Linked DNA regions of Ovis aries. The protein of the gene in region 1 interacts with the protein of each later gene in a biochemical or structural test. Links are inferred from orthologs where the notes say so. Each region holds a gene or a part of one and is shown on either strand. Other genes may lie near its edges.

What was found. The genes of interacting proteins can lie anywhere in the genome.
Region 2: of the proteins of LCK (region 1) and PTPN22, one has a biochemical effect on the other in vitro, tested with the Homo sapiens proteins (3 studies listed by IntAct, with this or other methods). The link is inferred for Ovis aries from reciprocal best matches to the Homo sapiens genes LCK and PTPN22.

The regions. Positions count from the first base shown.
Region 1 is NC_056055.1:235,267,010-235,273,292, forward strand, and holds the end of LCK (tyrosine-protein kinase Lck), read right to left. Parts: intron 4,909-6,283; coding exon 4,832-4,908; intron 4,741-4,831; coding exon 4,587-4,740; intron 4,506-4,586; coding exon 4,374-4,505; intron 1,915-4,373; coding exon 1,712-1,914; 3' UTR 1,254-1,711; downstream 1-1,253. UniProt on the Homo sapiens protein: Non-receptor tyrosine-protein kinase that plays an essential role in the selection and maturation of developing T-cells in the thymus and in the function of mature T-cells. Plays a key role in T-cell antigen receptor (TCR)-linked signal transduction pathways.
Region 2 is NC_056054.1:91,178,016-91,184,503, forward strand, and holds the start of PTPN22 (tyrosine-protein phosphatase non-receptor type 22), read right to left. Parts: upstream 3,782-6,488; 5' UTR 3,704-3,781; coding exon 3,617-3,703; exon of another isoform or gene 1-3,616. UniProt on the Homo sapiens protein: Acts as a negative regulator of T-cell receptor (TCR) signaling by direct dephosphorylation of the Src family kinases LCK and FYN, ITAMs of the TCRz/CD3 complex, as well as ZAP70, VAV, VCP and other key signaling molecules.

The sequences.
Region 1 (6,283 bases):
CTCCCTCAACTCCTTCAAATCTTTGCTCAAAATTCACCTTCTCTATGAGACCTTCCTAGTGTATCCCCTTTAAAGCTACAAACCTCCCCCAAATATGACACTCCTAATTCCCCTTTTGTTGCTCTATTTTCCCCTTAGCACTATCACCTTGCAGCATACCATACCATTTATTTATTTGTGATGCTTACTGTCTGTCTTCCCTGTGAGCTCCCCAGAGACCTTATCCACTGCCTGCTGCTGCTGCTGCTGCTAAGTCGCCTCAGTCGTGTCCGACTCTGTGCGACCCCATAGACGGCAGCCCACCAGGCTTCCCCCGTCCCTGGGATTCTCCAGGCAAGAACACTGGGGTGGGTTGCCATTTCCTTCTCCAATGCATGAAACTGAAAAGGGAAAGTGAAGTCGCTCAGTCATGTCCGACCCTTAGCGACCCCATGGACTGCAGCCTACCAGGCTCCTCCATCCATGGGATTTTCCAGGCCAGAGTACTGGAGTGGAGTGCCATTGTCTTCTCCAGATCTATAATCTAGTAAACTACAAATCTATAACCTAGTAAATTTTACCAATGATTTGTTAGACATGAAGGGAGAAGTACGCTGCTGCTGCTGCTACTAAGTCGCTTCAGTCGTGTCCGACTCTGTGTGACCCCATAGACGGCAGCCCACCAGGCTCCCCCATCCCTGGGATCCTCCAGGCAAGAATACTGGAGTGGGTTGCCATTTCCTTCTCTAATGTATAAAAGTGAAAAGTGAAAGTGAAGCCGCTCAGTCCTGTCCGACTCTTCGTGACCCCATGGACTGCAGCCCACCAGGTTCCTCTGTTCCTGGGATTTTCCAGGCCTAGTGCACAATGTTCAATAAATATTTGTTAAGTGAGTGGATTAACTCAGTGTTTAAAAACACCTTAAAGGTGAATCAGAACATATAGCTCTTGAATCAGTAGCTATAAAAAGGAAAAGGCAGTCACCCTTATACAATGGGAAAGGAAGGGTCTTGGGACACATTTACTCTCTAGGAGGTTCTGGGTAGTGTGCCCATAATTCTTTGGGGTGGAGGTTTGAAGGGGTTCAAAGAACACATACCGCAAAGTATAAGGACCTCCTCTTGGCACCCAACATCAGCAGGGCTGGAAAAAGTTCAGACATCCCTTCATCCCTCCCACCTTTCACCCCAATTCAGGGTGCCTCAGTTTCTATCTTCTGAATGTCCACTCCCCCCAGCAAGGAAGAGGAGACTGGAGTGGGGAGCAGAAAGATGTACAATCTTCACCAACAGGTATTTATTGAGCTCCTTATGTGTGCCAACACCAAAGAGGAGCACACAGAGGTATTTTAGATAAGGTCTCAGCTCTCAGAGAGCATCTTGATGACCAGGGGAACAGAAAGGGGGACAGGGAGAGGCAGGTGCTAATCACAGGCCTCTCTCCTCTCTTTGGTGGTCTTGGAAGTCAGGGGGGCGCCCAGAAAGGGACAACTTGGACAAGCGTCCAAGACATATATGCACAGGCCACACAGGTACAAGACACATGTGCAGAGCCCACCCAGCTACAGATCCCGTGTACAAGACATGAGAAGCGTATGTGTCGCACGTGGGCGGGATTCACATGCTGAGTCCAAATTTGCACAGGCCACAGGGGTGTGACACAGGAACTGCGCCTCCCCCAGCCAGGCTGGCTAGACGGTGGGAGGGCTGCAAGCCCCAGTCACCTAGGCCCCTCAGGGTTGGGGTTGGTACTGGCCCTCCGTGGCTGTGAAGAAGTCCTCCAACACGCTGCGCAGGTAGTCAAAGGTGGGCCGGTCCTCCGGGCGCTCCTTCCAGCACAGCATCATAAGCTGGTACAACTCCTCCGGGCAGTTGTCAGGTCTTACCATGCGGTAGCCTCGCTCCAGGTTCTGAATCACCTCAGGATTGGTCATCCCTAGAGGTTGATGGGAGAACTGACATCAAGGCTCCAGGCTTCGGAAGCCCAGAGGCAGGGGTGATGGTTAAGAAGATATTTGACAACAAGTATGGTGTGAGCACCAATCCAAAGGGATCTTGGTCTTCATCGATGATAAGGATAGTAAGGCTATACTGGCAGTACCTGCGAAAGGTCAGTCATGCCACTAGGAGTGTCTGCTATGGCTTAAACCTGCAGTAACACAGACGTGTTTGGCTGTGAGTCCTTGAGTGACCCACTGAACCTCTTTGAGCCTCAGTTTCCTTATTTGGAAGATGGGATAATAGGAGCTCCTACCTCCTAGAGATGTTGTGAGGATTGAATGAGAAAGTGTGTACACAGCCCTAAGGATGGTGCCTGGAGGAGGAGATGGAGCATAAAGAACACCTGTGATGATTATTATTTGGTGGGGAAGGATGAAGCCATCAGGGCCTAGCGCAGGATGAGGGCCCACAGCCAGGACAATGGAGAAGTTTCTCCAGCTTTGGAAACAGGCACATGAGATGCTACATCAGAAAGCCAGGTGGATCCTGGGCCTCAGCCAGGCAGACCCTGCATTGGGCACAGAAGATTCACTAGGCCCCTCTGTGACCCAGATGAAGTCATCTTTGGACCAGTTCCCTCCCTTTGTACTGATCCTGGCCCCACCAGCGAGGCCCATTACATGTGGACCCCAAGAGATGCTGCTCTGGAGAACTGAATGGTCACAGCAGAAATAGGCCCCCTGTTTCTAAATTACCTGTGTGGCCTCTGGTTTCTCCTTCATTCTCCTGAGAAGAGAAGCCTAACTCCTAGATGTCCTAGCAAAATAGTAGTTTTATTCCTACAAAGCTTCAAACTGGAACCTAGTCGATAGAGACCTCTCTTCCTCAGGCCTTGCCCCTGGGGAGCCTCTAGCTATGTGGCCCTCACATTTAAAAATCAGGGCATGGAAAGACATAGGCTAGGAAACAACACTGATGGATAGAGTCAAAGGTGCAAACCGATTGGCTACACCCAGCCTAAATATAGCCCACAGACAGACCTACTTTGACTTGGCCCCTTATTGTGTTTTTAAACAATCTGAATCATCACCAATATTTGGAAATGGGCACATTTTCCTAAAACTCCAAGCTTTGACTTCTCTTGACAAAACACAGCTCTGCTTTTTGGGCCCCTGTGTCTTAATAGCAACCATCTGCTGGCGCAGACGCAAGTTTACCCAGGTCCCCATTACTCCCCATAGTCTCCCTGACCCTGAAACTGTGCGTCAGTTGCCATTTATCATCATGCTTTCATTGCCTTTATTCTTCTAGTAGAAAAATTCTCTAAGGGAGCAGTGTGAGCTCTTGGCAGGATGACAAGAATATGTTTCTAGCCCCAGTGCTGCCCTTGAACTCTTCGATGGGGCAAGTCCAGACTAGGGAAGGCCTGCATACTCACATACTCACACCTAATTCTAAGGTGTTTTTACCTTCCCAGGAGCAAAGTTCTGTGCACACTGCTCAGAATGTCGGAAGCTTCTGCCAAGTCTGGCCACCAGGCTGCACGAGCTCCCGACCCTGTCTTTGTGTTCTGTTTCCTTTCCCCAGCGTTTCCTAGCAAGTTCCTTCCAAAAAAATTCCATTCCTGTCCTGGCTGAATTCAGCGGTAAAGAACTTTGTCGAGGAGATAGAGGGAGGAGTGGGAGAGAGTGGGAATTGGCTGCTTACACATCTCTCTCACTCTACATGGAAGGCTTCAGAGGGAAAGGAAGTCAGTGTTTCGTGAGCATCTACTATGAGTCAAGCTCTTTCAAAAATAATCTTGTTTCTCATATCATGAAACTGAGGCTCAGAAAGGTAAAGTCACCTGCCCAAAGTCACTTGCCCAAAGTGATTAATAATAAAACCTAACACTCTTGAGTGTTTCATATGGGTCAAATATTGTTCTAACCTCACGTTTTACAAGTGGAGAAAGAAGCAATAATCTGATCAAAGTCAAACAGAAACCATCAGTGGCAGATGGTAATAAAAAGCAGGCCTCCGGAAACTTCCGCAGTAGTCTAGTGGTTAAGACTTTGCCTTCCAATGCAGCAGGTGCAGGTTTGATCCCCAGCTGGGGAACTAAGATCCCACATGCTGCAAGGTGTGGCCAAAAAATAAAGAAATAAAACTTGGAAAAAAATGCAAAAAGAAAGCAGGCCTCTTGCCTCTCAGACCAGATCCTCTTCTACCTACTAGGCTGCCTGTGTTAGAGTTAAAGAAAAGAGCTGGGATTATTGAAGGAAGATTCAGGGACAGAAATGGAAGCCAGACCTAAGAGATGTAGCACCCGATCGGGGGTGCACGAGTGCCACCCCTAGGAGGATAGAGGGGAAGCAGCTGGAAAGGTTCATATTCTGAGCCCAGGAGGAAGTAGAAAGACATGAATTTGCTGCCCTTCCCCATCACCCTTTCAGCTCCTGCCTGGACCCCGACCTGGGTAAGGGATGCGACCATGAGTGACAATCTCCGTCAGCAGGATCCCGAAAGACCACACATCCGACTTGATGGTGAATGTCCCATAGTTAATGGCTTCTGGTGCTGTCCACTTAATGGGAAACTTGGCACCTGGAGGGAGGGCAGTGAGGTCACTGGGTCTGCCAGGCCAGACCCCAGAGACCCCTGACTTCCCTCATATCCCATACCTACCCTCCCTGGCTGTGTACTCGTTGTCCTCAATGAGGCGTGCTAGACCAAAGTCTGCGATCTTGCAGCTCAGGCTATGGGACACCAGGATGTTGGCAGCCCTCAAGTCACGGTGGATATAATTCCGCTCTTCAATGAATGCCATACCCTCTGCAATCTGCAGACCAGGTACAGGTCAGCAGTCCTAGGCCAGACATCTGGATCCCATTGCCCTGTGCCCATGCTCAGCCCCTCCCCAGTCTCCTTACTTGGGCTGCCATGTCCAAGAGTTTGTTGATAGTCAGCTTGATGCCTTCGGAAGTCTTGAGAAAATCCACCAGGCTTCCTGTGGACAGAAGCAAGAGTTGCTGACTCAAATTGCCCCAGGGGAAAGCTCCCAGACCCTTCTCCCCTAACTAGGGGTCTAGAAGCCATGTCTGATGTGTGAAAAGGAAGAGTAAGAGCTGAAAATGGAGGAGTGTGTGTTCAGAGTAAGGGTGCCTAAGATGTGTGATGCCCTTTTCTTGGGGACTAAGATGCCACTTGGAGGGGTCTGCAAGCTTCTTGTCACCAGTGGGATGGAGCCTGAACTCCTCAGCCAGGCATCCAAGCCCTGCATAGTCCACATCTGCAGTTTCTTCTCTGCCCTCCACTCCTGCCTCTTTTACTCCATCTACCCTAGATAATTGTGAGATTTTCCTCATAGACCACTGGGTTCCCACTCCAAAGTCTCTTTGTCCCATTTCTTCTGCTACAGTTTCTTTTTGGTCATGGCTCAGCTGGACTCTTCCTTTAAAAACCCTCTCTAGATTGTACTAAGAGTAATAAATTGTATCATCATCATCATCTACCTGCTAAGACTTTCCTATGGCATGAACTGGTTTTCCTAGGGTGCATAATTAAAGCAAGTTTTCTCTGATAGCAAGATTCTTATTTTGTCCATCAATATTCCCAGCCTACAATGCTTGCATGCTCCATCACTAAGCTGTATTGGCTCTTTGGTACCCCATGGACTGTAGCCCACCAGGCTCCTTTTTTCTGTGGGATTTTCCAGACAAGAATACTGGAGTGGGTTGCCATTTTCTCCTCCAGGGGATCTTTCTGACCCAGAGACCAAAATTGCGTCTTCTGCATTGGCAGGAGGATTCTTTACCACTGAGGCATGTGGGAAGCTCCTCCCAGCCCACAGTAAACAGCAATAAATGTATGCTGAATATATTAAAAGAGGAGTATGAAAATAGGTATCATGAGGGAGTGAGGGACCATCTTTCTGGTAGCAGAGGGTAACTAGGAGAAGACCAGGGATTAGAGTGGCTGGAACAGAGCTAGTAACCACTGGCCCTTCTCAAGAGCATTTGAGTGCTGAATTAGTCACTGAGACAAAACCTCACCCAAAGGCAGCAAATATGTGGACAGACGCTGTCATTCCTCCACTGTGCCCATGGCAGATATTGCTAATCAATCCCAGTGCTCACTCCCAATGAACCTCAGAATCCTTCTCAACACAGAGCTCCAAGCAACTACCAATCGAAGGTGGCCTGCTATTTGCCATCTTCAGAATCCATTAACCAATTAGCTTTTTTCCCTTCCTGAAAGAAGGATAGATCTTATATTCCCAAAGAATCAGAGCCAGATAACAACAAACTTACTGAGCCATTACTATACAGCAGACATTGTCTAACTGCTCTATATGCATTAGCTTTCATCCTCACAAAGATCCT
Region 2 (6,488 bases), on another chromosome or scaffold:
AGCTCCGCTAAAGCATGGAGTATCACAGAACCAGTATCCGGCACAATGTTTTGCACATAGTAAGCACTCAATAAATATTTGAATGAAGGCATGAGAACCTTACAGGAGTGGTCTCTTCCCTGGTGGCTCAGATGGTAAAGCGTCTGCCTACAATGTGGGAGACCTGGGTTCAATCCCTGGGTCGGGAAGATCTCCTGGAGAAGGAAATGGCAACCCACTCCAGTACTCTTGCCTGGAAAATCCTATGGACAGAGGAGCCTGGTAGGCTACCGTCCATGGGGTCACAAAGAGTCGGACACGAATGAGTGACTTCACTCACAGTGATAGTTTCAACTACAGAAGTATTATTGAGAGACTTCCCTGGTGGTCCAGAGGTTAAGAATGCCAGTGCAGGAGACAAAGGTTTAGTCCTTGGTCTGGGAAGATTCCACATGCCATGGGGCAACTAAGCCCAGGTGCTACAACTACTGAAGCTCACATGCTCTAGAGCCCGTGAGCCACAACTACTGAGCCCACATTCTGCAACTTCTGAAGCCCGTGTGCCCTAGAGTCCGTGCTCCACAACAAGAGAAGCCACTGCGATGAGAAGCCAGAGCGCTGCAGCTAGAGTAGCCCCCGCTTGCTGCAACTAGAGAAAGCCTGAGTGCATCAGTGAAGACCCAGTGCAGCCAAAAATAATAAAAATAAATAAATAAAAGATAAATAAAAATTTTAGACAACAACAAAATAGGAGGATTATTGAGTTTAGCCTTACCTTGGGAAAAAGACCTTGGCATGAGAAAAAGACCAAAGCAGCCCAGTACCGGCTCTAGCTGTCATAGCAGGGCTTTGTGCGCTGCACAAAAATACTTGACCAAGGGGGAAGTGGGGACTGACATCTAAGCCATGAACCAGTGGGGGCAGGGTGTACAGAGTATCTACCTGGAAGTAGAGATATCTTTCGATAATTCCTGCAGAAGTGAAGTGAAGTCGCTAAGTCGTGTCCAACTCTTTGCAACCCCATGGACTGTAGCCTACCAGACTCCTCCATCCATAGGATTTTCCAGGCAAGAGTACTGGAGTGGGTTGCTATTTCCTTCTCCAGGGGATCTTCCCAACCCAGGGATCGAACCCCAGTCTCCCTCATTGTAGGCAGACACTTTACCGTTTGAGCCACCAGGGAAGTCAATTCCTGCAGAGACACTCCCATTTAGGCCAGCAGTGGCCATGTGTCACAGAATCAGCCCTCAAATTTCAGAAACATCAAATCCTGGGAGAATATATTCAGAGCTGAAGATGGAATGGGGACATGACCAGGTGGAAAGCCTTCCTATTGAAGAGCAGTATTTACCTTGTCCCAGCCAACATCCTGGCCCCTTTCACCACCCCCCACCTCCCCCTAAGCTACTCTTTCTGGTATCTCAGCTGAACATTTAGGTGGGGTTGAGGGAAAGACTCTGTTTTTCCACTGGAGGACGTGAGTCAGTGAACAGTGAGGTTCCACTTAATCACCACCCAAAAACAAGGTTCTCAAAATTAGGAGCTAGAAAAGCAAGGAAGTGATTAATATAAAAGTCAGGAGAGTGATTATTCCTTGGGCAAAGCAGGGTAGGGTGGGTGTGGGGGCAAGGGTGGGGGCGAGGGATCTGATGAGGAAGGGACACATGGAGGTCTTCTGGGGCTGACAGTGTTCTGTTCTTTGACCTGAGTGGTGGTTACTTTACAATTATACTTGGGTTTTATGTAGTTTTCTAAATGTGTATTATCACAATTTTAAACAGCTGGAAAAAACACAAACTATAAAAGGTTTTTAAGCAGGGAAAAAAAAAATAACCAGATCACTTGGTGGTATTAAAAGATCACTTGAGTGTCAAATGGAAAATTGAAGGTAGGGCAAGACTAGAGCAGAGAAAACAGGAGGTGAGGTAGCTGCTATAATTTGGTGAGAGGTTATAATGACTGAGCTAAGAAGAGGTAAAATATCAGAGAGGTAGTCTATATTACTTTCTAAAACACAACCAAAATAAAACAGAGGCTGCCCCTGCCCCCTCAGCTTGCTTCTTACCCCTCTGTATTGGAGATATTTGGCTCAGGAGTTCTAGCCCAGGGCCAGGTACATGTTTAAGACACATAGGCCAGGCTTTCCACCTCCCCTCCCTCCCTGCTAATTCTACTAGAGGGATTCAGACTGTCTGGCCAGTGGGAACTAGAGTGTCATTTTTCATGATACCACGGTATTATCGAAGTTGAGCTGACACAGGGGTTTCTATCATAATACGAGATCACATCATGATATCTAATCACTCAAGAATCTGCAGAGTGTTTTCACATCTTACTATCTAGTCGAGAAGATCCCTTGGAGGAGAGCATGGCAACCCACTCCAGTATTCTTGCCTGGAGAATCCCATGGTCAGAGAAACCTGGTGGGCTACAGTACACAGGGTCACACAGAGTCGGACATGACTGAAACAACTTAGCACGAACACATCAGAATGTTAGCTCCATGAGGGCAAAGGTTTTTTGTTCACTGCTATCTCCTTGGTGCCTGGAACTAGATACATAGCACGTGCGCAATAAATTTACTGAATGAATGGTCACATTTAAGTATTAGTATTGATCTTTAGCCATCACAATAATCTTGTGCAGAGAGTTAGGACATAAATTATTATCCCTGTTTCAGAACTCAGAAAATAGAGACTCGGTGAGATTAAGGAACATGCCAAGTAGTTGATAATTTGGTTGATGACAGTCATGATTTAATTTTAGACTTCACACTTAAATTCTCTTATTTTTTCAATATCCTCACAACTGAAAAGGTAAGGTTTGAAGTTCTTACAGAGCCGAAACACCAGCTGGAGGTATTCCAAAATACATGATAAGTACTCTCAGACATCCTATGTCATCTGATGTGCTGGGTTATAAGATGAATGAGGCTGACCCAGTTGCCCCTGCATCAATAAGCACCGTTCTGCTGGAGGAAATACAGTGTCCCTCTAGGTAACCAAACCTTAAGCTACCTTGTGCCTATGTTTCTCTCCATCTCCCTCACCTTTCTCTACTCTCCATCCTAGCCATTCCACCTCTCCAAGCAAAAGAAGATTAAGGAAACCCTGTTCCTGTAAAAGCACATGTTCTCATATTTTTTCTTCATTTAAAAAAAGCAAAAATGAATATGGCAGAGAGTAGTTAGGGTGCTCTTCAAGAGTTTTTGTCATCCAAATGGAACCCACAGGAGGGTTCCATAAAAGCATAATGCTCCATGAAAAGTTAGTCTTGGTTTCTTTTCTCTTGACATTAATTAAAATTAGCTGTTTGAAGCATAAACCCAACTCACATACCTGGGAACTCCAGATGTTCAATTAATATCATATTTATGCAACTGGAATTATGTATGTCATCTATAGGAGTCCTAGTCAAAGTCTAAGAACTAGCAAGGAAAAGATTTAAAACTGTATTTTGGAGAGAATAACTAGAATACACACAAACCACTTAGAGAAATCAAACTTTTAGGTTGCCTTCTTCCCCTGAAAGTTCTGAAATTCACTTTATCCGACGAACAACTTGATCTATGAGAGTTGAACCACTGTCATCAAACAGTCTATGTAAATAGTCTGAGAGTGTCACACATAGAACTTACCAGAAATTCATTAGCAAACTCCTCTTTGTTACTTTTCCTGTGTTGTGCCTCATCCAGGAACTTCTGCAGAATTTCTCTTTGGTCCATACTGCAGGGGAAGAGAGACAGTCTACGAGTGGGTTAAGGGAGGGCATGTCAGATGTGTGTCATGGCCGAGACAGCACTGAGAAGCCACTGAAGCTGCTTGAGCAGAGCATGTTGAAGGCTGTGGTTTACTGACTTCATCACAAGCCCTAGAGGAAATTAGTATGTAACCAGCCTCTGTGGTCACACAACAAAGCCAGCACCCTCACTCCTGGGCCCTAGCGCCTTCCTTCTCAGGAAAGCAACCTGGTTGCAGTTCAGGTTTTTAACAAACAAGAGGGTAGCTAGAACACAACGTATGTGTGGTCTGCTTATCTCTGAGACTACTCCATTCCATCGCCTGTAAGCAAACGGCAATTACCTAGAGAAAAGGCAGAATTACAGGTTTCCTGGATGGTTTCTGCCACCTCTCATTTCCCCTGTTGACACCTTCTATTTCCTCATGTCCCAAAAGAACTCCGTAAAAGTTCTTGTGGGTCCAGAAGAGGAAACAGTTTGGAGACACTGTTTAGAGTTAAGACACCTTCTATAGCTTTCTTGTCAGTGTGATCAGTGGCAAACGTCTGTCCATCAGAGAAGGCATTTTTGTTGAATTTTTGCTTCTGCCCTATAGACCTAACTCTCTTTCAGATGAAGCAAAGTCAGCTGCTTCTGAGAGTCTGTGTCTCTCCCAGGGCTGGGGAAGTGCTCACCTCCAGTAAGGGAAGTACAGCTTTTCAGGACCCCCACCCCCACCTTCCAGCACTTTCTGAGCTTCATTTGGTTTCTGGATATAAAGACTAAGAGCCCTGGCCTACACGGGATCCACGAGCACAGTGGCCCCCATGAAGAGGACCTGACCAGGAAGCTGACACAAAATCCCCTGTGTTCATGCTAGTAAAATATGAGAGAGCAGAAAGAGAGTAACCAGGCAAGAAGGGGTTGCCACATCCTCCTCCAGCAGATCTTCCTGACCCAGGGATCAAACCCAGGTCTCCTGCATCTCCTGCAGTGCCAGGTGGGTTCTTTACCACTAGTGCCACTTGGGAAGTCCCAGTAAAATATGAAGGAACAGAAAAAGAGTCAAATCAACCACTTTGCTGACAGTAATACACCTTTTAGGGCAGAAAGCCTGAAGAACTATTTCTAGAGAAGATATATATACTCTGCAACCAAAGCCTGGAGAAAAGCCATTGATTCTGGAAGCCACACTGTTCAGGTAGGGTTTTGGCCCTGATAGGGAGGCTGTTCTAGAAAAAGCTCCCATGTATCAGCTTACATGAGTTCTCTCCTCAATGGGTACAAGCCTACCCAAGCGTGTCTCATTTGGTGTGATAACGAACCAAAAATCAGTATAACGTCTCTATTTGAGGACAGAAGATCAGTAAATAAGATGTTAACAAAATGAGTCTGAAATAATCGTGAAGAAGATTTGGAAATGTGCTGTTGGAACTTCCTCTATTTGCTATTAGCAATCCTTTCTGTTTTACAACATTATTCAAACTTTCTTTAGGAAATGATTCTGAACACTATTTGGCTGCAACTGCTTTATTGAGCCTCATAACAGGGAAGGAAAGGTCACTGAGGTATCTTGCTTACAGGCAATGTGAAGTCAATGAAGAATTTCAGTTTAGGTCCACCTAATAAAATGAACCGTATTTTCAACACTTGTTGAGAGCAGAATGTCAGAAGAGTGTGTAATTTCCTCAGTTCTGTCTCACCACCACAAAGATTTCAAACAGCGGACCAGTGTTACAGCTCTTTGTTACAGCTCAGAGTTTTATTTATTCCATAAACAAAGGATAGTACATCCTCAAGGCCTCAATCCTTCTTGGCTTCCTCTGTTTATCTGTTTTGTCTCCTCCCTGCTGAGCCTGCCCTATGCAAATTAGAGCTAGCCAGGAAGGGGGCCTGTTTGTTTCACGGGAGGTTCTCAGTCCAGTCCGTGGCTTTTCGTTTTTCCATTTTCGTGGGCTTTTTCCTTTCTTTGTCTTTTAGCCATCAGCATTTTGGACTCCTTTTTCTATTCTAACTACGTAGCAAGAGTTCAGTTCCTTTCAGTCGCTCAGTCGTGTCTGACTCTTTGTGACCCCATGAATTGCAGCACACCAGGCCTCCCTGTCCATCACCAACTCCCGGAGTTTACTCAAACTCATGTCTATCGAGTTGGTGATGCCATCCGTTGTCGTCCCCTTTTCCTCCTGCCCCCAATCCTTCCCAGCATCAGAGTCTTTCCACTAAGTCAACTCTTCGCATCCAAGAGTAACAGTTCTCAAATTATTCCCCACTAGCTTTAAATTTAGAATTTCTTGCTGCTCTAGATAATACAATTCAATTTGGCTTTTTAAAAACAAAAATATGGGGAAACTTATCTTTGTATTGGTTGTACCAGGTCTTCACTGCTCCTCCAAGGCTTTGTCTCGTAGCAGCGAGTGTGGCGCACAGGCTTCGCATGGCAGTGGCCTCTCTTCCTGCAGAGCCCAGGCTCCAGGTGCACAGGCTCCAGTGGTCGCAGCGCTTGGACTCAGTAGTTGTAGCACACAGGCCTAACTGCTCCAGGGCATGCAGAGTCTACCCAGACCAGGGATAGAACCCATGTCCCCTGCACTGACAGGCAGATTCTTATCCACTGTACCACTAGGGAAGTCTGGGGAAATCTTAAAGACAAAATTTCAAGTTCACCATGACTAAAACCATGTGAAAGTACACACATGGCTAAATGAAGACTAAAAGATGAAAAAAAAAAAAGAATCAATTGAATAAGTGTTGGGATTAAGGATGGTTTTTAAAGTTCTTCTTTTAAAATTAT